3 linked regions of the Medicago truncatula genome follow. The protein of the gene in region 2 binds, or shares a complex with, the protein of the main gene of each other region. Links are inferred from orthologs where the notes say so. Each region holds a gene or a part of one and is shown on either strand. Other genes may lie near its edges.

What was found.
Region 1: SNF1-related protein kinase regulatory subunit gamma-1-like (region 2) and SNF1-related protein kinase regulatory subunit beta-3 share a complex: the UniProt entries of both Arabidopsis thaliana proteins name them as parts of the probable heterotrimeric complex. The link is inferred for Medicago truncatula from reciprocal best matches to the Arabidopsis thaliana genes AT1G69800 and AT2G28060.
Region 3: SNF1-related protein kinase regulatory subunit gamma-1-like (region 2) and SNF1-related protein kinase regulatory subunit beta-1 share a complex: the UniProt entries of both Arabidopsis thaliana proteins name them as parts of the probable heterotrimeric complex. The link is inferred for Medicago truncatula from reciprocal best matches to the Arabidopsis thaliana genes AT1G69800 and AKINBETA1.

The regions. Positions count from the first base shown.
Region 1 is NC_053043.1:46,812,799-46,821,192, reverse strand, and holds the start of SNF1-related protein kinase regulatory subunit beta-3, read right to left. Parts: upstream 3,804-8,394; 5' UTR 3,668-3,803; intron 3,578-3,667; 5' UTR 3,489-3,577; intron 36-3,488; 5' UTR 7-35; coding exon 1-6. UniProt on the Arabidopsis thaliana protein: Regulatory subunit of the probable trimeric SNF1-related protein kinase (SnRK) complex, which may play a role in a signal transduction cascade regulating gene expression and carbohydrate metabolism in higher plants.
Region 2 is NC_053046.1:16,855,788-16,864,030, reverse strand, and holds the start of SNF1-related protein kinase regulatory subunit gamma-1-like, read right to left. Parts: upstream 3,373-8,243; 5' UTR 3,247-3,372; intron 2,572-3,246; exon of another isoform or gene 2,408-2,571; 5' UTR 2,400-2,407; coding exon 2,231-2,399; intron 2,153-2,230; coding exon 1,710-2,152; exon of another isoform or gene 1,472-1,709; intron 1,188-1,471; coding exon 921-1,187; exon of another isoform or gene 845-920; coding exon 672-844; exon of another isoform or gene 120-671; coding exon 1-119. Other genes in the region: single-stranded DNA-binding protein WHY1, chloroplastic, read right to left, coding at 5,560-5,670, 6,420-6,508, 6,648-6,721, 7,516-7,610. UniProt on the Arabidopsis thaliana protein: Regulatory subunit of the probable trimeric SNF1-related protein kinase (SnRK) complex, which may play a role in a signal transduction cascade regulating gene expression and carbohydrate metabolism in higher plants.
Region 3 is NC_053046.1:39,459,419-39,468,476, reverse strand, and holds the start of SNF1-related protein kinase regulatory subunit beta-1, read right to left. Parts: upstream 3,581-9,058; 5' UTR 3,553-3,580; intron 219-3,552; exon of another isoform or gene 95-218; 5' UTR 16-94; coding exon 1-15. UniProt on the Arabidopsis thaliana protein: Regulatory subunit of the probable trimeric SNF1-related protein kinase (SnRK) complex, which may play a role in a signal transduction cascade regulating gene expression and carbohydrate metabolism in higher plants.

The sequences.
Region 1 (8,394 bases), on a different chromosome or scaffold from region 2:
ATTCATCAATGAGTCCAATTAAGATTCCAAGAAACCTGAAGAAAGATACTTCAATTTAGCATAATCAACAAATAATACACAAAAATCTATTATACAACGGATACACTCCAATTGGTTAATCTAAAGAGACAACAAATTACTAATACTATCAACTTATGTACACCTAATCTGATTAAAAACTACACAACAAAGCAAAGTAATGGGAACACGAATTTATTCATAAAAAGGAAAAATCTGGTAACAACTTAAAAGTAAGGGATGATATCTTTGTAATAAAAGTTACGAGATTATAAATGTTCAAAGGATATTTACAGGCAGCACTCTAATCTTTTAAAACATAAAACAACAGATTCATAATCATAATTCTTCATACAAAATTACATCTGCCATCATTTTCAGAGCCTAATACATGCAAAGAGGAACTCAAAGTAGCTATATAATATAACACAGGCAGGCACTCACAATTACAACTACGACTCAACAGTGGATAACATATCCTTCAGTGCACAAAACAAATCACAAGTTAGCATTTCACTGAACATGATCCACAACAAATTTCAATATTTTAAACAAGTTGTATTGAATGCTAATACAGTAATAACATGGTATATTGATCAAACTCCCAAGCTTCGACATGCATCTTTGTTATTAGTATTACAAATCTGAGCAGTTGAAGATATAAATAACTTGCAAGTTTTGCATCAGATTACCAAACTAATAGAAAGAGAATAAATATCTAACATTAAAACAGGAGAAATCTCAAGAATCTTGATAAGATTCATAATAATAACAAATTACAGATTTCGACGAAACGGTGGTATGTGATGTGAAACAACTTATACTAAGAATCTTAATATCATGTCTTCTATGACCAGTAGCCACAATATCATAAAGAAAATAGACACGGAAGGTTCAACAAACGAGCAATATCATGAATTTAAAGTCTTTATAGTAAAATCAGATTATAATTTCACATCAATTTTGGCGAGATTACACTGTGGACTACCTTCAAACACACTCTAAAACTGACTATAGCCGTCCAACAACATAGACCCATCAAAAGATTCAATTTTCTCACAACAGGAAACCTACAATAAGAATATGGTTGAAGATAATTGCTTTACAGGCCCCCTTGCATTGCTGCAAAATCCCCTCAAAACACACATCGGAAGATAACTTCCGATCATTTCTATGAGCAAAAAAACAAGCCTATTGGAAGATATGTTCTGATAGGTTGAGCAACTCGGAGGGCCTATTCAGCAATTAAAATACAACATTGGCCCAGTGGTACCTAAATCTCCCCTGGTCTCAAAATTCAATTTTTATGGCTGTTATGAGTGAAACTCGAGTCAAACTGCTAAATGATACTACCATAAAAATCCAGCTAAAAAACTACTCCATCATGTCCTAAATACTGCCTCTGGTCCTTCTTATAAGAGACTTGTAGGTCAACAAAAGTTGATGTATTTGGTTCATAATATGGACCAAATACATCGACTTTTATTGAATCGTATGTCTCTTATAAAAAGGACAAGAGGGAGTATAAGAGAAAGTTGGGTTGTGTCAACAAAAGTTGATGTATCAGGTTCAAAATTTGGACCAGATACATCAACTTTCCCTTATATTTTAGACCAGAGGTAGTATATGCAAATCCTCCTAGGCCAACTTAACCTACATAATTTCTTCAATTGCATTCACAAACACAAATCCAAGGCATAGATTACACATTAAAGTAATGGGTGATATCTTTTATTTTGGAAGAAGGGGTGTGATATCTTAGTAATGAACAAAGTTATAAGATTATAAATGTTCAAAGGATATTTACTGGTAATACTCTAATCTTTAAAACATAAAATCACATATTCATAATTCTTCATACAACGGCCACCATTTTCAGAACCTAATAATACATGTAAAGTGGAAGTCAAAGTAGCTATATAATCAGTCACTCACTGTTAGAACTCAACAGAGGATAACATATCCTTCAATGTACAAAACAAATCACAAGTTAGCATTTCACCAAATGTGATCCTCAACAAATTTCAATATTTTTAATATTTGAATTGAATGCTTAATGCTTATATGGTAATAACACAGTACAATGATTAAACTGCCAAACTTCTACATACATCTTCGTTATAAAAAATCTGTGCAGTTGGAAATATAAATAATTTGCAAGTTTTGTATCAGATTACCAAACAGATAGAAGGAGAATAAAGATCTTGCATTAAAACAGGAGAAATCTCAAGAATCTTGATAAAATTCATGATAATCACAAAATATAGGATGAAAGATTCGGAAGAATAATGGCATGTGATATGACACAACCTATATTATGAATCTTATACTATGTCCTGTAAGATCCGATAACCAAGATATCACGAAGAAAAACATGAACCATGAAGGAAAGTAGACACGGATGGATCAAAAAACGACCAATGTCAAGAATCTCAATGTTTTATAGTTAATCAGAGTATAACTTCACGGCAATTTTGATGAGACTACACTATGGACTACTCTTCTACAAACCAACCGTCAAACTGACTACAGCGGTCAAACAACATAGATCCATCAAATGACTCAATTTTCTCACAACAGCAAACCTACAACAAGAATAAGATTGAAATACAATGCTGGCCCAGTGGTACCTAAATCCACCCCTGGCATTGTAGTCAGGATCGAGTGCTGGTTACGGCACCTCAATCGTGCTTCGACTTTACTCGGGTTAATTTTTCTTTTGTTTTCATCTGTTTGCTCTGTTTTTTCTCTGCTGCCTCTGTTTTTACTCTATTTTCTGTTTTTTTGCTTGTTTCCTCTGTTTTTCCTCTATTTTCCGTTTTTTCTCTCAACTCTATCAAAAACCTACCAATCCTACTTACGGACCGTGCTATGACCCTCGTGTTTACGATCTTTTACGAGCCTACCGATTCCACTTAAAAACTTGAACCTGACTACATTGCCCCCTGGTCTCAACATTCAATTTTTCTCACGGGCCATTATTATTGAAACTCAAGTCAAACTGATAAATAATGCTACCATAAAAATCCAGCTAAAAAACTACGTTGAGTCAACAAAAATTGTTGTATCTGGTTCAAATTTGGACTAGATACATCGATTTTTGTTGATTCAACTTTCTTTTATATTTAAGACCGGAGATAGTATATGCAAATCTTCCTAGGACAAGTTAACCTAGATAATTGTTTGAGTTGCATTCACAAACACAAATCAAAGGCACATACCAAACATACACAATCCCTCATCAAATGAAATACAATGACAACACCCACATAACAAGAACCTCAAAAACAAACTACACATACCAATTGAAATTGCTCCTAAGCAGAAACAAAAACTAAAACCAATAAATCCCAAAACCCTTTTACACTGAATTTGGGGGCATGCAGGTATAAACAAAATGCAATAACATAAAACACAATTTCTAACCGATTAATAACAATTCAACACAAAAATGAAGAAAAAAAACTTACCTTGACTTGAGTTATCTTGCTTAAGATTTCGATAGTGACCGAACCAAAACACAGAAGGGAGAAAGTGATCGACGATGGAAAGTGCTGAGCTGCAAATGGAAAGAAAAAGTGATTATGAAGCGTTGATTTTGAAGCAATGAAGCAAAAAAAAAAAAAAAACATTTACGAAGAAAACGAACCCTAACTAAGAGTGCATCGTATTCTGTGAAGAAGAAGAAGACAAGCAGAGCACGCAACGCAAAGTTGGCTTTTAAAGGTCGTCAAAGACTCAAATGTGGCTGTTACAACTTACGAACCTTTTTCCAACAAAGACAGATGTCATGTTACTACCCGAATATAATAACATTTTTTTTAAAGCTTAATTGCACTTTTGGATCCTATAAGTTGCGATTATGGACCCCTAACTAATTTAAATACAAAATAACCCACTATGTTTTGATTCTTTGACAGTTTTGAACCCCCAGTCCATTGTTGACTCGATCAACGCTGACGTGACACCCTAAGTGAGGTGCCACGTGTCATTTTTTTTATTTTTTTTTTTGCCTTGGGGGCCAAAACTGTCAAAGAATCAAAACATAGGGGGCTGTTTTGTATTTAAATTAGTTAGGGGTCCATAACCGCAACTTTTGAAAAGATAGGGGTCCAAAAATACAATTAAGCCTTTTTTTAATGCTAACTTGTGCGTTAAGGCACAAGTTCATGATTCAAATATAAAAATTATTTATTGAAATGTGTGTATTGTATTTAATTTTTAACTTTTTAATGAATTAAATGCACAAAATTTTATACAATATTTCTTCTTTTGTGTTTCTTAACATGTGCCCAAAAAGCACATGTTAACACTATATTTTTTTTTTATATACCAAAATATATAAAAACATTTTAACCTGATTATACTCTCTCCGTCACATCTTAAGTGAGTCTTTTGTTAATTTCACACATATTAAAAAAAAAAAATGTTCATGCTAACTTGTCCTCTAAGAGTACAAGTTAAGAAGGTAAATGCACAAGTTAAAAATATAAAATTAAAGTCCCATAAGTCCTAGCTCAATTGGCAAAAATACCGAAATAATTAGAGTGGACGTCATGACCGGGGTTCGAACCCCGGTACCTCCACTTTGTGTTTGTGTGTTTATGATGGCTTTGCAATTTCGTCTATCTACCAAAAAATAAAGATAAAATTTAAAGCTTTCAAAATTAAAAATACACAATTTTTAAGATTTAATTTCTACTTTTGATTTCTTATCCTATGTCATTAGGGCACAAGTTAACATTTCTCTAAGAAAAAATCTATAAGTGAAAAAGAGAGAAAAATAGTTTTGAGTGTTTTGTCAAATATTCGTGCATTCTTCCTTATCATACATGCAAAGTAGCATATATTGAATTGAGAGTGATGAAATTAGAATTGATCAGAGTTATAATTGAAAAAAGTAATTACTATTTTATTGAAAAGTAAAATGAGTCAATTTTTTGGGATAATATTTTTTTTTTGTTGCAAATGACTCATTTATTATGGGACGGAGGGAGTAATATAAATGATTAAGTTGAATAAAGAAAAAGATAATTGACTAAAGCGCTACCTGATTGTAACATAAAAGATTAAAATCGGAAAAAATATATAAGATAAAGGATGAAAATATTACCTGAAATTAAGTTAAGGGACGAATTGTGTAATTTTGCCTAAAATATAAGAAAAAAAGTTATAGTACTTTTATTTAAAAATACATAGACCAATAGGTTGAGGAGAGTTGGACCGAATTTAAGGGAACGAGAGTATTGAAGATATATAGACCTGAAGTCCATAATAAATTTGACTAAAAAAAGATAAGAAAAAATTAAAAGTTATATTATGTTATTATTTAAAAATACATAGTCCAATAGATTGATGAGAGTTGAACTGAATTTAAAAAAGAAGAGAGTATTGAAGATATATAGACCTCAAATTCATGATAAATTTGACTCATATTGAGGCTTATCATGCTAAAAAACTTAATTAAAGGAAAAAAAAGGTTATATGGCTCTTCTTAGGCATTGCACGGCTGACGCTAGGGCATAGGCCGCGAGTGCGACGGCCTAGGGCCCATGCCGGTAGGGGCCCATTTTTTTTTAAGATGGGGTGTATATAGAAATATTTGAGTTATGGGAGGTATATATAGTAAAATTCTTTGAAAAGACCCAAACATTAATATGATAAAGGACTGGGTTCAATGCCGCATTGAACCGGTACAACTTAGTTGCCAACACATATGTTTACCACCAGGCCATCTTTATGGTTCTATATTTGCACCTTATTAGTATATGTTGGATTTTGCCATGTATTATACATATAAAAAAAAATATTTTGGATCCCAAAATTTGATAAGTCGAGCTCGGTTGAATTGTGTTTTTTTTAGAAAAAGAGAAGTATATAATTGTTGTTGTGTATGAACGGATGTCCATTCTATAAGGGAAAATTAAATCTACTCACAAGAGCTTTCACCAAGTTGTTAGTTTAGATTCAACTCATATTTGTCATAAACAAGATTTTTAGCAAAGTTATTTCGGAGGTTGCAGCACAGGCTATAACCACAACACCGAAACATGTAGTAAAATAATCTATAGAGGTTGTAACTGCACAATCAACACAATCTGTTGGAAATATTAAGAGTAAATTAAAATTTGGATGGTTAGGAAAGAAAGAAGAGAGTTTTGTTATGCCGTGGCCAAAATCACTGCCCTGAAAGTAAATTTCCGGTGCAACCCAATATCCGGTTTTGCTCCCCAAAGTTTACATTACTGCATGTCTGAACCCATGCACTCGAGGCCAAACACGATGAACATGATTTTTGTTTTTTGATCACTTCCTCCCCGGCCATAGTTTCCATGCGTCCTTTATATATCTTGCAAGTGGCTAAATGCTTAATCAATTTCTTCATTACCGTTGCCACATTTTCATAGAAAATCAATGATATTAATGGCCATGAAAGCCTAAGAACAACGGTTAGATAAACTCTATAACGGTAAGCATTTAAACCAATTGAGTAAAGGACACTTGATTGTGCAACACATGCTTGCTTATGATCAATAATCATGTTCATCAACCAAAGCAACATTTGATTATTGATACTCACTGAGTTTTTCTATTGTCCTTCCTCCGCTTAACAACTCAGCACTCCCTTACTCTTTATCCTCCATGTTCTCTTTTATCCTATAAACTCTTTATTCCCAGCAATTTTCATCAAATCTCTTCAATATGGACGACCAAGCCTTATTCCACTAAGCGGATTATCAAATCTCTTCATCTCTATTTTTTCTAAAAAAAAAAAATCAAATTGGCTATAACTAAGGAAATTGCTAGAAAACTTACCTGAAACTGTATCACATATTAGCTCCCAATATGGAAAATTGATTGAAACTCAACATCAACCAAAATTGGAAAACCAAACCAAGAAACTCAGATAGAACCTAAAACCTTCATAACTTCTAAAAATCCCACCATCTCTTCTCCAAACACAACCTCAACTCCACTTCTCCTAGCCAAACCAAGTAAAATCAAGTCTTTTAACGAATATAAATCCAAAGATCACCCATAATTCTATTTGAGATTAGAACTGGTAAAAAGATTTCTAAAGTGGACAAAACAATTCACACCATCACAAATAGTGACTCATAAACCAATATCTCATCCCCACCTATTCCTAAAAAACATTCCAAAATCAATTCTACAACCATCTTCAGAACATGCCCTGCTAAGAAATCGTCTAGAAAATCTTCCTCCGCATTGAATGTTAAAAAATCTATTAAAATTTCGTCTTTGAAATCCACCAAACTTCCAAAGGAAATAAGTTTTTTTAAAGTATCTTTTCTGACAAAAATCCGCTCGTGTGCAATCTTAAAGGAGTTGAAATCAAGCTAACCCTATATTATATCTTCCAACTTAAAGGCACACACACTCTATGGATTAAGCTCGTATGTTACCTTGAAGATTTAGAAGAAGCAACTTCTTCAACAAATGTTCAACTTGGAAGGCAAAAACCTATAAGATCCTCCATCCTCAAATATCGCAAAGGAGTACAAACGGTTGTATAATATGTGTTATCACGACATATTTTCAAGGAAGGAAAGCAAAGAAATTTGTTTAATGATAATGACATCATGGTCATGAATCATTTGGCTAATCACATCAAGCTAAAATTGCCTTAAGTGGTACATATTTTCTCTTGTGACTTATATTAATTTTGTGAAAATTGTTGTTTATTAGACTAATTAGATTGCTCACATGCCCCTTAAACATCCCAATATATCCCCTCGGGTCCTTACTCCCGAACCTAGGTAGATCTAACTCCCAATTAGAATGCTTAAGTTCGGGAGTTATGATTCGATACACATTGGTGACATACCTGATTCAAGTTGTAAGACATTTCAAGAGTTACAACCTAATCCAAGGTAGGGTCCCAATCTATACAAAAACTTTATTTATTGCTCTTTATGTTTTGGTCTAGCAGTGATCGAGGACATTATAGATATTCTTAAAATTCTGTCTTACATTATATTTTCATACTTTGTAGTTTCACCATACACATTGTTGGGCGGATTATTCTTGAAGTTTTATAATGTGGATTCAATCACTTATTGTATACAAGCCTCTTTTTTTTTATATTTAGATTCCTGTTTATTAACCGAGTGTATCATGTCAATTTATGATAGAAGATTATAAGAAAAAAATAGGTTATTATGGTTATGCTGAGCTGAGACGGTTGGACTTTGATAATTTTTGTAACCTAAATGCCATGCCACTCCATAACCCAAATGATTTGCTTATTCATTTATTCTTGTCATAGTGGATGTTAACAATGAATTACACTTCGGTCATTATAAGTTTTCTATGATAGTTTTCCATAAATGAGTCCATTTCAAGAGTACAATT
Region 2 (8,243 bases):
GAGTGTGAATCACGCTCTGCAGAGTTGCATCAGGCTTGCAGGTTATAGGCCGAGTAACTTTTCCAGATTCATAGGATGCTGAGACAATTTTCTTCATGAAATCCATCACAGTGAGATTCCTGAAAGTCAAAATACAGGGATGGTGAAGAAGACATTTCAGTTGAGTAATTAGTTCTCTTACAAGTTACAAGCTTGTGTGATGACCATTGGCCATAATTGTAGCTATTGATTGTTTTCCTTAAATATTCCCACAAACAATCACACACATGTATATTAAGTGGTCAATCTTATGACCGTAGCTGATTAATATTTTTCTCGATCTTAGAGGTCAATGGCTTGACTAGATATACAATTTATGATTGATTGATATTTTTAAACTTGATCTCAATCTTAGAGGTCAATGGTTTATACAATTCATGATAGAATTTTATGTCGTAGTTTGATCCATATAGCCGACTCACCTGGTGTTATAAGACTTGGTTGTTGTTGTAGTCATTTGTTTGATTATCTTTATTTTTGTATTTTAACCAAAGATGAACCAAAGAGAGTTTTATTTTTGAAAATGCAGAACCAATTTTGTATCTGATTTTAGATTTTACAGACTAGCGTGTTTCCGTAATTATTGTTAGAGATGCATACCACACGGATTCCCAATTTCTACTTAGGCTCACCTAAAATTGGAGAAAATTTCAGGCTTTAGCAGCAAGTATCTGATGTCTCTTATGCTCAAGTTTCCAACAATTGTCTTTGCTGGCCCCTCGACTACAGGAAGACCACCAATTTGATTATCCCTCATAATCTTAAAAGCTTCAAGAATCAATTCATTACTCTGGATGCTAATAACCTGGACAAGAAGAAATAAGGTGTTTTTAAATCTCCAAGTTGAGGGAAAGCTGAAAGTTTTAAACGCAAATCGTTACCTTATCAGCAGACATAAAAGGAAGTCCAAGGTCAGCCATAGGCCTGGCTGCAATGCAATCAAACCAATCTCTTCCTCTGCATCCTTCAAGACCTTGGATAACTGCAGACTGGGTAATGAAGTTTACTATGTCTGCTTTACCGGGTTCTATCACTGGTACATTCCTCAGCCTATACTTTGAGAGCAACAGCAAGACAGTCAACATAGCACTATTTTTTGCAACAGGAACAAAGGGTGCCCATCGGTATGATTTAAGTATTGATCGCACCTGAAACCAAAACTCGACATATATCTCTCTTTTATTTTTTATGTGAAGGTTAAGCAAAATTTTTGCTACACTATAACTAGCTCAATTTATGCACACAATGGTTTTAAATTGTTGTCACAGTTACCCAGTGAACTTTTGTAATGCGGTAAAATGCGGCTGCAATTGCGGTTGTGATGTCATTTAGAGACCTCTAAAACTGTTATATTGCGGCCACAATTGCAGTTGCGGACCACAATTTATAGAACTATACATAACAAAAAACATTTCTCAATTCTATTGTGCAGGAACACAACTATAATTTTTCGATGAAATACATATGATTGACTATCAACACAACAAAAGCCAAATGAATAGCTAACCAGCCTGTCTCAGCTAGAAATGGTCTCCTCTCTTAGGGAGAGATATTTTATTTCAAAGATTTCTTCTCAACCAAGGAAGAAAAAAGCTTAAAACAAAAGTGCAATAAGCTCAAAAAAAAAAAAAAAAAACTGACAGTTTACAGTAGAACCATTGTTTGCCTACCGTTGTTGACTTGAAGGGTTCTTCTTGCAGTATTACTTTGTAAAAGTCCTCGCCGAGGTTATTTGCAGCTTGCGGAGCATCTTTAGCCATGGTTTTATCTGCAGCAACACCACCTACCACTGCTGCACCTACTGCAGCAGCAGTTAGCCCAGCAATTGCAGCAGGACCTGTAGCTCCTAATGCTATTGCTCCCAAAGCACCGACAGTTCCCGCGCCAACTCCGGCAGCTGTTGCTGTACCAGCTGATAGAGCAACTGCAGCAAGTTCTGCACTCTCCATCACCCAGAGAATTATAGCTGAATAATCTATGATGCCAAGGTACCTGTCTCTCCAATCTGAGCCAATTCCTGCATCGGGGTCCTTAACTGGTGCTGCCAATATGTTGCTTTCAGATAGAATCTTAACAGCTTCACCAACAGGTGTGTCTGCTAGAATTTCAACCACTGCCAAAGTAGTGATTCAAATTAAATGCATAAGGTGATATCTTTGAAATGCATTTATATATGGTTAACAGCCCTTACCTTTTCCTCCAGGAACTCCGGGAAAAGAAGAAACAGGAATCTTTGCAAATGAATCTGTCAATGTCTCCTGCAATGTTTGTGGTAGCTTCTTTCTTGATTGTATGGTTTCGAAGTAGCGGTCACATTTTGAAAGTTGGGTGCTTGTTCTGACCTCTTGTTCATGTGCCATGTTTTGAACTGAAGACATTTTTATTAATTCAGGTTTCAATGGTTTTCATGAAATTGCAGAACTGTAGCAGAAGAAATATCTATACCTTGTCTATTTAGCGTACTTTTGATTTCATTTTTGTGAGAGACTATAGTGATTCTAAAATTAAAAATTTAATTTTGACATGATTGAGTGTTCTAGAGTTGACTTGTTTTTGCTTCTGCAATGAACTCTAACTTGAAATTTGAAGCTTTTGCTTTCAAACGTGATTTTTAGCCTGAAATCAACTCACTTTCAGGCGAATATATCCAAATAACTGTGACTACACACAACACAACCAAACACTTCATTTAAAATGTACAGATTTAAAAAATGCTAGTATCATTCAGGTTCATTATTCTCTCAGATCTTTATCATTCCAAAGGATTTTTTTTCCTCAAATATGAAGATGAATCCAAAGTGACTGAAAATCTAAATGACTTGTATGGCAAGGCTATGAATTACATTTTATTAGGTTGCAAGATTATACTCATGTCACAATATTTTATCACGTTGATCCTATAAATGAATGAGCTAGTGATCAATATTACTTGCTCATCTCTTATATTGTTTATTAGTTATTACATTAATCATGGGTCATACCTATTATTTCCTCATATTCTAATGTTTGATTGGTATGGCCAAATGTGTATCATTGAAACACAAAATTTGGTGAAGAAATTGTTTATCATAATCATAATAAGATAACATAAACAATGTCAACCTCAAAAAACAATGAACAAACATGGTGCAATTGTAAACTTATAGTGCAATGCTTTGAAATTGTAATGCATGAAGAATAGACAAGTGATTTGAGAGGTTGACGTACCTATCACGTTGAGAATGGCAATGGATTCAGACACAAATTAAAGTTAAATATCTGTGATCTATTATGGAGAAGTGGTTATGTTTGTTTTCTCAATGGCCTTTGAGAAATTCTAGCAGTGCCATGTGTTGTTATATGACTCGTGTCAAAGGCTCTTTGTACCACTTGTTGAATTCTAATGCAAATAGTTTGTTTTTTCTCTATTATTCATTCTTCCCTCTCCCACACACATTACACCGCATGTCTCTAAACTATTTAGAAAGTTTTATATAGATTGTTAAACTAAAAAATTTGTAATCAAATCATGTACTAATACAATTTTTTCATAATTAGTTCCGACCAAAGACTGTAACAAAACAAACGCATCTTATTACAAAGATCATATTGGTTTAGGCACACATTTTTTAGTTTATAGACCTATTTAAAAAAAAAAAAATGGTTTAAGCCAATTTTTTTTAGCAAATTGAAAATTAAATGATTTAGTCCAACACGCTTCATTTCCACACTCCTTCATCAGTCAAACATCAGATAATGCAGGGGCGGTTTTACCACTCAGCTAGTCTGGGCACACCCGGGCTCTATGACGGATCTCCTAGAAGATTCATAGGAGCCACTGCAGCCCTCAAGTTACCTATAATTATCATATTATCCATAATTTATCATATGTTACATTGATGTTGTAGTGGATTGGCGAGCTCCCTAACTCTCAAAGGGCGTGTGTTTGATCCATGGTACTTTTTTTTAATTTTTTTTTTCTATTGTATTAATAATAATATCTTAAAACTATTTAATATGTATTCTAAAAATATTTGGCAAAATATTTTGCCAAGGCTCTACAAAATTTATGGCTCCGCCACTGTTTTATGCTATAACAAGGTGATATGTATTTTTAAGGATGATCAATTATTGTTGGGATGTAGGGCAAAAAGGAATTTGGTTGTTTATAATTTCAAACGGGGCACTCTTTAGATTTCAAAGATTCGACCCATCAATAGTGAGATTGGCCCGGTAGTCTCTGAAAGTTTGATATCACCTTGTTTCTAATTTAAAGATGTAGATGTGTTTCTATTTGACTTGAACTTTAGACTCGATTGCAACTTAATTTCCAAATATGTTATTTATTTCGTACTTGTTCTAATCATTGGTGACTTCATGGATCATTGTTAATTAATGTCTGATTGAATCTCTAGTTTGAGAAATTGTTATGTTATTCCCATTTATTAGATATTTAGATTTCTTGATTCTAGATCAGTATAATTTGAAATGGCCTGCATTTTTTTCTTTTTCATTTCATCTTATTCGCACATGTTTTGTATGGCCTGCATTTTTTTTTTTGTTTCCTGGAGGTCTACATTAAACTATTAATAGTTTGAAATGACCTTCTACTATTATTGAGAAGCCTAGCTTTGATTCCAGCCCTTAAAATGAAAGTCAAATCAACTACTACTTCAAAATGAGATGGTCATAGTAACTTATGAAATGTAGCATTTAGATATCTCAAGCCAAACATCTCATAATGGTGGTACAATTGCTTGCTTCTATAGAACTTTATGTTCATATCATGCAAGCATAGCCACTTATTATTTTGTTGGACATGTTTGATGTAAAAGCTGATTAATTAATGTTTCCTCCTTTTCTTTAGTGATTATTTTTAGAAGGATGTTACCATAAGACAATGTAAACTCACAACATGCAGAATTGGTTATTTCTGCTTCTGAATGGAACAATTTCTTCGAAATGTTTTAAGTGTTCAAATAATTTAATTTCATTAAGACTATAATTAGTCTGAACAATAAAGCATTGTGTGCATGAATGGTAACCACTCATTCTGAGCTTCAATCTCTATGATCTTTGTAAATATTGAACCAAATCATTTATGCTTATGTACAATAATACAGTAACCGTTTATTTATCAATTAAGAAGTTAAGAGTGTAAGTTCAGTTAAAATTGAAAGGGAACAAAATGATTAGCACAGAATATATTAAATATTCAGACTCGTTTAAATCTTATATGTCATCATTTGTGTTTGCAGCAATTTGCCACTTAATAAGTATCATCCATCTTGTTTGTAGGTTAAAATAAAATTAAACAGTTACATTCACTCCGGTTTTCAATTTAAGTAAAAATTGTTAAAACTAAAGACACTTTTATTTCATTTTATAAAAGTGATTATATAAACAATTGAATTAAAAAATGTGCACCAATAATGATACTTCTCAAAATGAGGTGATTTAATTTAACACATTCTAAAGTTAATAAGATCATACAAGATGGTGTATTGTAACTTTCTATGGTCATTAATACTGCAGATCACCCTATCTGTTCCATTCAAAGTCTTCTTCTCTTCTTCTTGGGTTTGCAATATTTACTTCTGGCTTTATGGAGTCGGCAAAGGCATTCCAACCTAAGAGATATGGCATGATAAACTGCATAGAAAATCAACAAAATTTACAATATTAATCAAGTTGAGTGCATAAAGAGCAATATGCAATTACTCATGCAAAAAACATATTGTCGAGGGTCCATTCGCGGAAGATTGGCTTTGATGAATAAATATAGATTCACCAGAGCATACAATGATTACTGATAGTTACAAAATATACTCCTAAAAACTACATTTAGGAACAACAGGTTTCGTGGTGTAGTTGGTTATCACGTCAGTCTAACACACTGAAGGTCTCCGGTTCGAGTCCGGGCGAAGCCAATTTTATTATTTTAATTTAATTTTTGAGTAAAAAAACTATATGTATGGCCACATATTTTACAACGTTGATTAAACATAATCAGGAGTTCCTAATTATGAATTGTATTAGACAAAAGCAGAAATTCTATAAACCTTGAAGATTTCCCCACACTTTTTATGCAAAAGGCATATTCCTAATTTAGCTAGACAAGTATTTTCTTGATAGAATGTTTAGAGAAGCTACTATTTTGCAAGAAAATTAACTACATGAAATAGATTTGATTGCATCTTCTATGGTATATAATAACAAAAAGTCATTTCTGCTTAAAAAAAGCTTTTCTAAAATAAGCTGGTCTCTAAATAAGTAAGGTGATATCTACACTAGAATTTTAGTGGGATAAAATTACGACACACTTGAATCAAAACAAAGGTAGGGGGTGACCAAGGGTAGAGAGGGAGAGAGAGAGAGAGAGAGAGAGAGAGAGATCATACACTGAAAAGTGAATTGAAAACTGCAAATTCCGCTTTTGTGACAGGGATAAATATGTTCTCATCGATGTTCTTGAGCTGGTTTTGGACACCTTCGAAAATTGACAAAACAATGTCAGAATTGAAGTTATATTAGTGCAGGGTGGAAAGAATCGATCCAAGAGTATATATTAACAATTTCCCGATGGAAGGGAAGTATATATATTAACAGCAGTTTATGAAGAGCATTACTTAGTTTAAACATGTGACCGGAACCGTCGTGAAGTGGCTCCACCTTTAAAACTTTTCTCACTTTACCTTCATCACTGCATAACAAGACAATTTCTCAAATTTTGTAAAATTATAAAGGGTCATGCTAACATGTGCCCTTACATGTTAAGGATTCCACAATAAATATTTATTGAAAAAAATTAAGTTTCAACTCTTTGAGAAATAAATTGGCAATTTCAAATACAAAATTTACATATTAAGTTCCTTAACATATGTTAGCCTTTTCCAAATTCTTTAAAATTATAAACTGTCATGCTAACATTAAATCTTGGCAAAGACATTGAATACTTTTAACTATTCGGTTAGTAAGCATTATTTTTTTTTTAAAACAGGAAAGATTATAGCATTTCACTAACAATTATAATGCGTATGAATCTGCATATATGGGCCCTGTTTGGATAAACAGCCTAATTAAGTGTTTATAGCATAAAAGCTTATCATGTATAAGTGCTTATGTATAAGCTATTTCTACAAGAAAAGATAAAATAGTTAAATTGTTTTCATAGAAGCTATAAGCTATTTTCATTAACTATCCTGAAGAGCTTAAGTAAATAAGCTGAAAACAGCTTATGGTCTTATGGACATATCATAAGTTATTTCCATGACCTCTCTCAAACAGTTTCACAAGTGCTAGTAGATAAACTCAAATAACACAATAAAAGCAGGCCCGTGACAATTGCATATTTGAAGACACCACCAAATCCCTTCCTATTTGAGAAGGAAAGTCTATTTTTATAACAAGAAAAAACACGCAAAGATCAGAAACTTTCAATCTGTTATGCTCTATCATTCAGTAAAATAATTAGAAAGGGTAGAGCACAAAAACTACCTTCTTCCCATAAAAGGATCGTGAAAAATTTCACAAGACTCCCTTGCACCAAGATTAATTAGATTTCCCATTTCATCCACAGATAGTGAAAACACCTGTGTTCAAGCAAAGACAACTAAATTACATAAAAGCAAATTGATGGACAGTCATATCAGTTGCTACTTGTTAGCAGTAAATTAAAAGTATAAAAGAAATCATTTACAAAATGTACTATACAAAGCTCATTCAAAAAACAATATAGAAGTTCCTTAATTTTACCATACATAAGCAAAAACGGAACACATAGACCTGCATAAATAATATTACAGTTTTACAAATTAACCCTGTCCTCAACTCCCTTGAGTTAGGTCCAAAGTTATCAAACTCAAGACTCTACGTAAACCCATGCATATAATCTCTGTATGACTGACTCAAAGACTCATAATAGTTAATTTGATACAAAAATAGTGTTTAAAACATAATTTAATAGGAATAAAGCAACAACAATAACTAATTTTAAATATTCTGCAAGCAAAATGGGTTCATAGTGTCACAATTCGAAATTGATAGGCAAATTGATATTATCTTGTCAGAGAATACACATAGTGTCACAATTCAAATTAGACAAGAATGCACAAAAGAACGAAGGATGGTGGGACTGAGTTCCCCTCGTTGGAGCACTTGGAAGAGCTAGGTTTCAACTTGTCAGAGTTAGGTTCATTCACCTTATTGCCTCATTGGATTCATTA
Region 3 (9,058 bases), about 23 Mb from region 2:
GTTAGCGTTTCCCATATTGTTGTCGTTTACTTGCAATGTAGATGAAGGAAGAAGAGTAAACGACAACGAGAATTGTGAGAGAGAGAGAGAGAGAGTTTGTTGAGAAGTGAAAGTGTTGCAAAGAAGAAGAAGAAGAAGAAGAAGAAAACGGTTATCGTTGTTCGTTCTTATCAAGTTTTGTGTCTGAGTCTGATCTGACGCTGGGATGTTTTGGACTTTCGAGCCAGAAATTTTATTATTAAAAATAAAATATGAGGGAGAAGAGAAAAAGATAACTTTTTTTATTTTCTTACACTTTTTATGGTATAAAAATATCGAAATTATTAAGCGGAACATTATGATTAGGGTTCGAATTTAAAAACTTCACTTATGTGTGAATTTATAATAATTTTGTCATTTCGTATGTCTAAAAAAAAAAGATACGCGCAACATTTTCTCTTGAATTTGACTCAACTATTACGATATCTTTGGTTAACAAAGGATGTCCCTCGACACACACATCCTTACTTTTCTATTGTCACTCTCTTTTTTCTTTGAAGAAATTAAACTAATTGATCCAAATTAAAATTTAAGATGTCCGCACAAGGGATCAAACAGATGCCTTGGTCTATCGATGACAACCTCTTTACCACTTTGCCAAAGTATATGTTTGTCTCACTCATTAATCGTCTTATAATGAAGGATTAACATATTAGCGTTTCTTATATTTTTAGGCAGACAAACCAAAGTAGCTGATTGATTTTCGAGTTATGCCTTTTTAATACCTACGTGTACTTACTATTTGGACCTCCATTGCCGAGTTATCTTAACCTTTTACGACAGGATATAGCCAATGTCTATTTTAATCGACGTATTCGTTTGTAATTTAGCCTAATAACCTCCCTTGTAATTAAAAAACAAGAAGAAGAATCAAATCACGGTTTTCTTTCACGGAAGTTACACATATCATCGTATTTACAACCTAATTTCTTACTATGATTTTACTTTGTTGTATGTAAATAAAAAACAAGCAACATTTGTAAGATCAACCACTATAAATTACATCAATATTGTTAGATTTAATTTCTTTTGAAGTGTCGTAGATTTGAACCTCTTATTATGTGTGTATAACTTACTTCGTCTGTGACGAAAAAGTGAAAAACAAACAAAAACTATTGTATTAAAACTTAAAAGGAGGAAGAGGAATCCTAATAAAGGCTCTAGTGATTTAAAAGGGTTGAGATCCTCTTCATTTAAATTTTTCTCCATTTTTACAATTTGGAGAGATATAGACACATAAAGTAGGTGGTGGGTCATATCATTAAATAAGTCTGACTATCATTAATTATTTTTAAGAATTTGTGTCTATATCTCTCTAAATGGTAGAAATAGATAAAAATTTAAATGGAGAGGATCTTAACTCACTTGAAAAGAAAGAGGAAAAAAAAACATGGTTGGAGGATTTTGATAAGAAAGATGAAACAAAGAAATAATGTCTCAAATGAGAGGTTCAAGGGACATCATACTTGTAAGACTCAAAGAAATCATGAGATGATTCAAATTAAGTATTTTGATATCGCAAGGCAAATTTCTACTCCTTCCGTTTCAAAATATAAGCAAAATTTATTTTTAAGGTTCATTCAATTAATGATCTATGTGGTTCATGTGGTTCATAATATAAACCTCATACATCATTAATGGAATGAAGTTAAAAAGTAAAATTTGCTTATATTTTAAAACGGAGGGAGTACCACTGAGCTAAAGCTAATAGATAATTTTCATTAATTTAAAATTTAAATAGTTTCTACTTTCTAAACAATGAACGAAAGTCCTTTTTAAATAATAACGAACAAAAGTACCTTTTAAATAATACAAATTTTTATTTTTGATATAATTATACGTTCTGAATAGATGTGCATCCATTGAAAAGATGGTATAATGAATGAGTAGTACAATTTTTATGTTTAATGGATAATTGAATTTAATTTTAGTTATTATGTCCTCGTGAGCTTAGCTCTATTGATAAAGACTATGCATAATATCTGTAAGGTAGGGGTTCAAACTTCGGCCACCACAAAAAATATAAATTAGTTATTATCATTCGAACTCCAGCCACCACAAAAAAAAAAATTGGTTATTATCGCTGGGGAAAATCCAAATTGATTTTTAGGTGAAAAATGATTGCTGAGACTTTATTTATCTCCTAACCTATCATTAAGGCAATATTCCTTTAAAAATTGGAGGGTTAACACACACAAAATTGATTGTTTTGATTCATCTATTATAAACAAATTGACATTGATCAAATATTCATTTTGCATCGTAAACCAACAGAATTAGTTTATTGTTGAAGTATTTAGTAACATTTTTTATTCATCGTAGTTCTGAGTGTGGGTTACAGATTATGAAATCAACAAATGGAAAACAAAAGTTTATTTCTAAATGATTAGCTGACAAAATGCAAGATTCGCATGAAGAAATAGCTGCCAAGCCTAATTTTGATGCGTCATGTTAACCGGTGTTCTCGGGATACTAGTTAAGAAAATTAAAAATATGAAATTTTAAAATGAAAATAACACTTTTTATATTTTTAAAGAGTTGACAACACAAATTTTAATGTAATATTTATTATATTTGACTATCAATTTTTATACTAGGGTTTGCGAAACGAAAGACACTTTGTATTAAAAAAGTAGTAAAAAAAGACGTGCTTCACACTCACGGACAAAGGAATACTACTAAAATGCAATGTACGAGTCTCGTCCCCCGGTCTAAAGACAATTTGACATTTTCTTTTCTTTCCATTTTGGTAACTAATAAAATATGCTCTTTATCCCGTATATAAGCATGGTTTAATAGTTAGTTAATCAATACAAGACATATTGAATACAAAGATTATGATTATAAACTACCTTGTGATATACAATATGTTGATTTATCAAATATATTAGATATTTGAAATTCATTTGAGTTGGTTTGATACAGTTTGATTCTTCCTGAAGTTAATTTAGATAGGTTAGTTTAACTTCAATTAAAAAATTTACTCAATTAGATATTTGAAATGCATGAATTCTTTCTCAAATGATACTTCTTATGCATCTCTCTTCTTATCACCTTATATATATATATATATATATATATATATATATATATATATATATATATATATATATATATAAGGTGATAATCAATTAGAATTCTCATTATTCTAAAATGGATCATCAATATCATCCTCTTGTGTGAGCTCAATATAATATGAGTCTCGTCTCTTGATTGATATAAACTCAATAGAACTGGATGTATTAATGTCAATAATTGACCATTTCGCAAATAATCTTACTTGATATATATCATGCAATCACCAAATCACAATTTACAACATTATAATAATACATCATGTAGTTGTAACTTGTAAGCAACACTTTTTTTTTATTAAAGCAATAAAAGTTCCCCAAAAGGACTTGAGGACGAAGATGGTGTGCATTCAAATGATTGAATCAACAAGTTAAAGATAACTCCAAATCGATTACTATCACGTGTGTGTACTATTGAAAACTAGCAAAGTTCTGAATTGAGAGAGAGAGAGAGACCTATTGTAAATTGACCACTCACCAAATTGTTTACAATTTAAATACAAGGTAGGACCAATGGAAAAAAAATTCCATATAAATTATAATTACAAGAATCAAGTTCAGATGGATGAAGACGGATGTTAAGGATAATTTCAAGATTGAAAATAATATTTAATATAATTTTTATTAACTTTTACTTACGTTTCAGCTCAGATTTTCAAACTACCTTCTTCCAAGAATTAGAGGGTTGAGTGAAAGAAAAAAAAGAATCGACCTTCCATTAAGGAGACCAATTGCAATTGCGGTCACCTTCACTCTAGTCTAGTGGGACAAGCAGGGGCATGCCCATCATTAGCAACTTGCCAAGGGCCATAACCATTCAATAGTTGGACATGCAGTAACAATAAATATCCAAAGGGTCCAACTTTTTTTTAAAGTAATTAGGGTGTAGTAGATACCGAGTTTCTCTTTGGAAAAAAAACTCAATTTTGAAAAAAATAAGAGAAAATGTTACAATTTAATCATCATATCTTATACTCCCTCCGTTCCAAATTATAAGCAAAAAGTTTTTTAGAGTATAATTTTGTGCTTTCTTTGAAAAAAGTTTTATAGGAAAATGTAAAAACAATTTTCATTGGTTATTGATTATGGAAAAAATGAAAGAGAGAGAAAATTGAATATAATTTGCATTTAATTTTATGAGAATAAACAAAAGTTTTTCTTGAAAAATAGTTTTTTTTAAAAAAAATAAGATTAAATAGGATAAAAGTTTGTCTTTTTTATTTATATTTTGAGACAAAGAACGGAGGGACTATAAAGTAAATACCTTGTGATTGTCAACGAGGTATTGAGAGACAGTGGCACCTTAAACTCATTACAAAGACCCAAAAACCAATATGTACCTTGCAGCAAAAGTATATTGAGAGAACTTAATTAGTCCCTTAGTTAAATCTTGGCTAGTCAAACTCCCATTATCAAATACATGAATACGTTGCATATTTCCCCAACTATTCTTCAAACTGAGTGCTGCGTCATAGTCATTAGAGTGTGTGTCCTTATTTTTTCTTATCAAAATATAGAAATGTCAATGATTATGCATCATAATAAGGTGTGACAAATGAAATCTTCAATAGTTGCTTACTTATCATCCACAATACAACAAATTCCTTAATTATTTAAAGTGGTGATACATGTACATCCATAGGTGGTATACACACTTAAACCTCCACATAAACATGTGACACGTGTCCTAGACCCCACAAACACTTTGTCTCTCTTCTCTTTCATCCATCTCTCTCCTCTAGAATATGTGGGGGTGTATGAGTGGTATGGAAATATGAGTGGTCTACCAATCATTTTCCATTATTTATGACATGTACTCGAGTAATCCCAATATCCTCGTCATAATATAAACATTATGAACACGGACCACAAACTCCATAGCTTGAAGGCAAGAATAAATTATTTGGCAAAAACTCCATAGTGAAAATTGTATTGTATTAACATTACTCCCTTCAAATGCAAAATATTTGTTTTTGTACTTACCAAACCGATGCTGAAGCATAATTTGAATTACGAGTTGTGATGAATATATAATTTGACTTTTCAATATATCCGCAACACAATGTGAGTTGAATTTGATCAAAGCTGTCTAAACACATGTTCAGATTTTAATATCCGAAAAATTTCAATTACACTTTGGTTTATAAAATCTAAACAAAAACAAAATGATCAATTTGAAGGACGTGCAAAAAGAAAATAATTTCTATTCTCAAAAGGAGATAAAATGGTCAATTTGAAGAGTGCACGAACATAAACACAGTTCTTCTCTTCTCTTTAGAGGTTTAAAACGTTTAAAATGGAAGAATGATGATATATGACATAAATTGAGACGCTTAAGAGACAATCTATGTCCATACACATCTATCTCTTCCATTTCTAATTTACATTTCAGACTAATATAAACATAATGTTTTGTTGTATTGTGTCCGATGTGGGCCTTAAATAAAACCAACATGATATGCAGTAATTACTTTCTGTCATGAAATTTGTCTCAAACATCATCAAAATTGTAACGCCTTGGATTTTGATCCTAGACATTACGCCTAATTCATTCACATTTTCGAAAATTACTACTATTTTCTTTTTATCATTAATAATAAATTCTTAGCAAAATCTATACAAAATTCTTAACATAATTTAATAAAAATTCCTAAAATAAATATCCTTTAAAATTTAAAATTCGATCAAAAACCCAATTTGTCCCCCGTACGCACTTCAAGCAAAAATCATAAAAGGTTGCTTGGCTGGATCAAAATTGAGAAATCTTAGAGACAATCAATTTAATCCCCTCCACTTTCATCATAATTTATAAGACATTTCACCTCGATTATAAACATAGTATTATGTTGTATTGTGTCCAATACGGAACTTTAATAAACCCAACATGATGTTCGTAGTTACTTTTGTCATAAAATTTGTCTAAAAAATCATTTGTCCCAATTATATGAATCCCTATGACGTTGGTGTATTCTATTCTAAAAATAATAAAAGATACATGATAAAATAAAAAGAAATAGTAAAGGAGAGACATTGATAGACTTTAATAAATCCAACTCTTTGCAGGTTGCTTCCAAATTGATACATAGCCAGCCAAAGACCGTTTACGAACCTTCACTGTGGAACAATTTGACTATTTACCAGTTCGTGATTTCTCAACTGTCTACTAATTGAAAAAACAATTTCTCCTTTTTCTTGATTATAAGGTTATTAGAGATAATAAACAAAGAAGAGTTCACATTCTAGTTAATCAACACTACAAAAAACAAAATCAAAATAACAATTCAAAGATAAATACAACTTTTAAAGTATTTTGTATTTCTTTCAAATTACGTTCAACATATAATTATTTGTTTAATGAAATTTGTAGAAGCCATGTATATAATGCATTAGTGCCAACATTCCACAGTTTCAAGATTTCAATTTTGAACATATATTTTGAATCCAAAATCTTAAAATGAACAAAACTGCAACACTGTAGCATGTTATAGTGTTAGTGATGGAATTAAATATTTTCAAGTTCTTAACAATAGGTTCACAATTTCACATAAACTACTTAACATAAGTTTTAGGTGACAATTGTTTTACATTTTCTCAAATTCTTATTTCTTATTCACTTGAAGAGGTTGTTCTAACAGTGGTAAAATAATCAATTTTGAAGGCGCACGAGAAGTTAATAGGTCGGAAAAAGAAATTCTCATCCAATATAGAGGTCTATAAAATGAAACTATGTATACGCAGACCAAAATGAAGACACAGTTGAGGGAAATAAATTGTGATAATTTATTTCCCTTACACATGCCTCACACTTAAAATTGACATATGAGACAATTATAAATATAATGATATGTTGTATTGTGATCGATGTGAGACTTTAATAAATCGAACATGATATATAGTAGTTACTTTCAGACATGAAATTTGTCTCAAACGTCATCAAAATCATTTGTATATTGAATAAAATGAAACAAATTATATATATGAATCCCTATAATGTCCGTGTATTCTAGTCTAAAAATAATTAGGGTCATGCTCTGGTCTGTCTGATTAGTAAGGTTCGGCCAAATAAAGATACATGACAATATAACAAGCTAATTATATGAATCAGTAAATGAAGAATACAAAAAGGAAAATAAAAATAACAATTCAAAGATAAATATAAATATGTCACTCACCACATCCTAAAATATCAACACTAGTTTGGAAATATGGTGAAACACATGATGGCAACCTTTCATTTCCCATGAAGACTTCTTTAGCAACCTCATAGACCTAGTAAATAAATGAAAAACAAAAGTTTCTCCAATCCACAAATAGAACATAACAAAGATGAATATGGAAAACTAACAAAAGTAATTTGATCATATTTGTTCTTGGTGCCTTTATTTCTTTATTGGCATCTAAAATATAGAAAGTTGACATTTGTGTTTTATGCTTGTAATTCCTTGAGTGAGAGTGTTAAACAATATGAGACCTTTACATTTTTTATAAGTGAAGTACTTAGAAAGGGAAATAGGGAGTGTCTTGTGTGGTTGGCCTCTAGTTCTCGACCGCCCATGTTGAGCTTTCCCTCCTTTTGGCCTCCATGGTTTCTCGTTGGGGGGTTGATCAGTGGGGTTTTGGTGTTCTTGCTTTAGCTTCCGTTGTTGTTGTGGTGTTTTCGTTTTTCTCTTTTTCTTATAGAGGATCAAAATGAAGTGATTTTAAAAGGAATATATAATCAAAACCGTGAGTTATGATGAATATATAATTTGAAATGTGAGTTGTATTTGATCAAAGACTATTCAAATTTTATAATCCAAAAAATGTCGGATACAGAGAAGTTAATAAATGGAAAAGGAGATTGTTGGAGACAATAAATCGAGAGATGTTAGAAACAGTTAATTTATTGCCCTTACATTCTCCTAAGCTTATAAAGACAGTTTAAACAATTATAAATATAGTGTTATGTTGTCTTGTGTCCGATGTGGGATTTTAATAAATCCAACATGATGTTAGTAGTCATAAAATTTATCTAAAAAATCATCAAAATCATTTCCAAACTAAAAATCATTTACCAATCATATGAATCCATATAATGTCCATGTATTCAAATCTAAAAATAATTAAATATACATGACAAAATAAAAAGAAATAGTGACATGGATAGACGTAATGATAAGATACATGACAAAATAAAAATAAAAGAACAAGTTGGCTAGTTACGGATTCGCGATTTCCCAACTGTCTACTAAGTGAAAAAACATTTTCTCTGTTTTCTTGATTATAAGGTTATTAGAGATAAACAAAGATGAGTTCACATACCATGAATCAACAATACAAAACATAAAATAAAATAACATTTCAAAGATGAATATAAATTTGTGATGCTCATGTCACAGTCCATATCCTAAAATATCAACACTACTTTGGAAATATGGTGAAACACATGATAGCAACCTTTCATTTCCCATGAAGCTTTCTGACCTATGCATTCCTCAGAGCCCTAACTATGAATGATGTTATTGCTTATAGAACATAGCAAAGATGAATATGGAAAACAAATACAAAAAACATGTCTCAAAGGTGGAAGAATTCGATAAAATCATGTATCATAGACTAATTTTTCTAGAAAATTTCTCTACACAGCACATCATCTAAGATCTACTTTATTTCAGTTGATTTGGAAGTTAATCATCTTTTCAAGAACTAGACTCCCTAATATCACTCTGCACAGACTCTTGCCACACCTGCAAGGACACTTCCATGACTTCTTTCATCCAAAACTTGACGCGTATTAGCTTAGAGTTTTTGAAGGATAATAGTGACTTTGAAAGGAACTTATCGGTGAGTTTGAGCTTCAAGTCTTGTTGATCTGACTCAATGAATCGCACACTGGTCTTGTTGAAGGATAATAGTGACTTCTTGAAATTGTTTCTTTTTTTAGGGGAAAAAATTGAATTTGATAG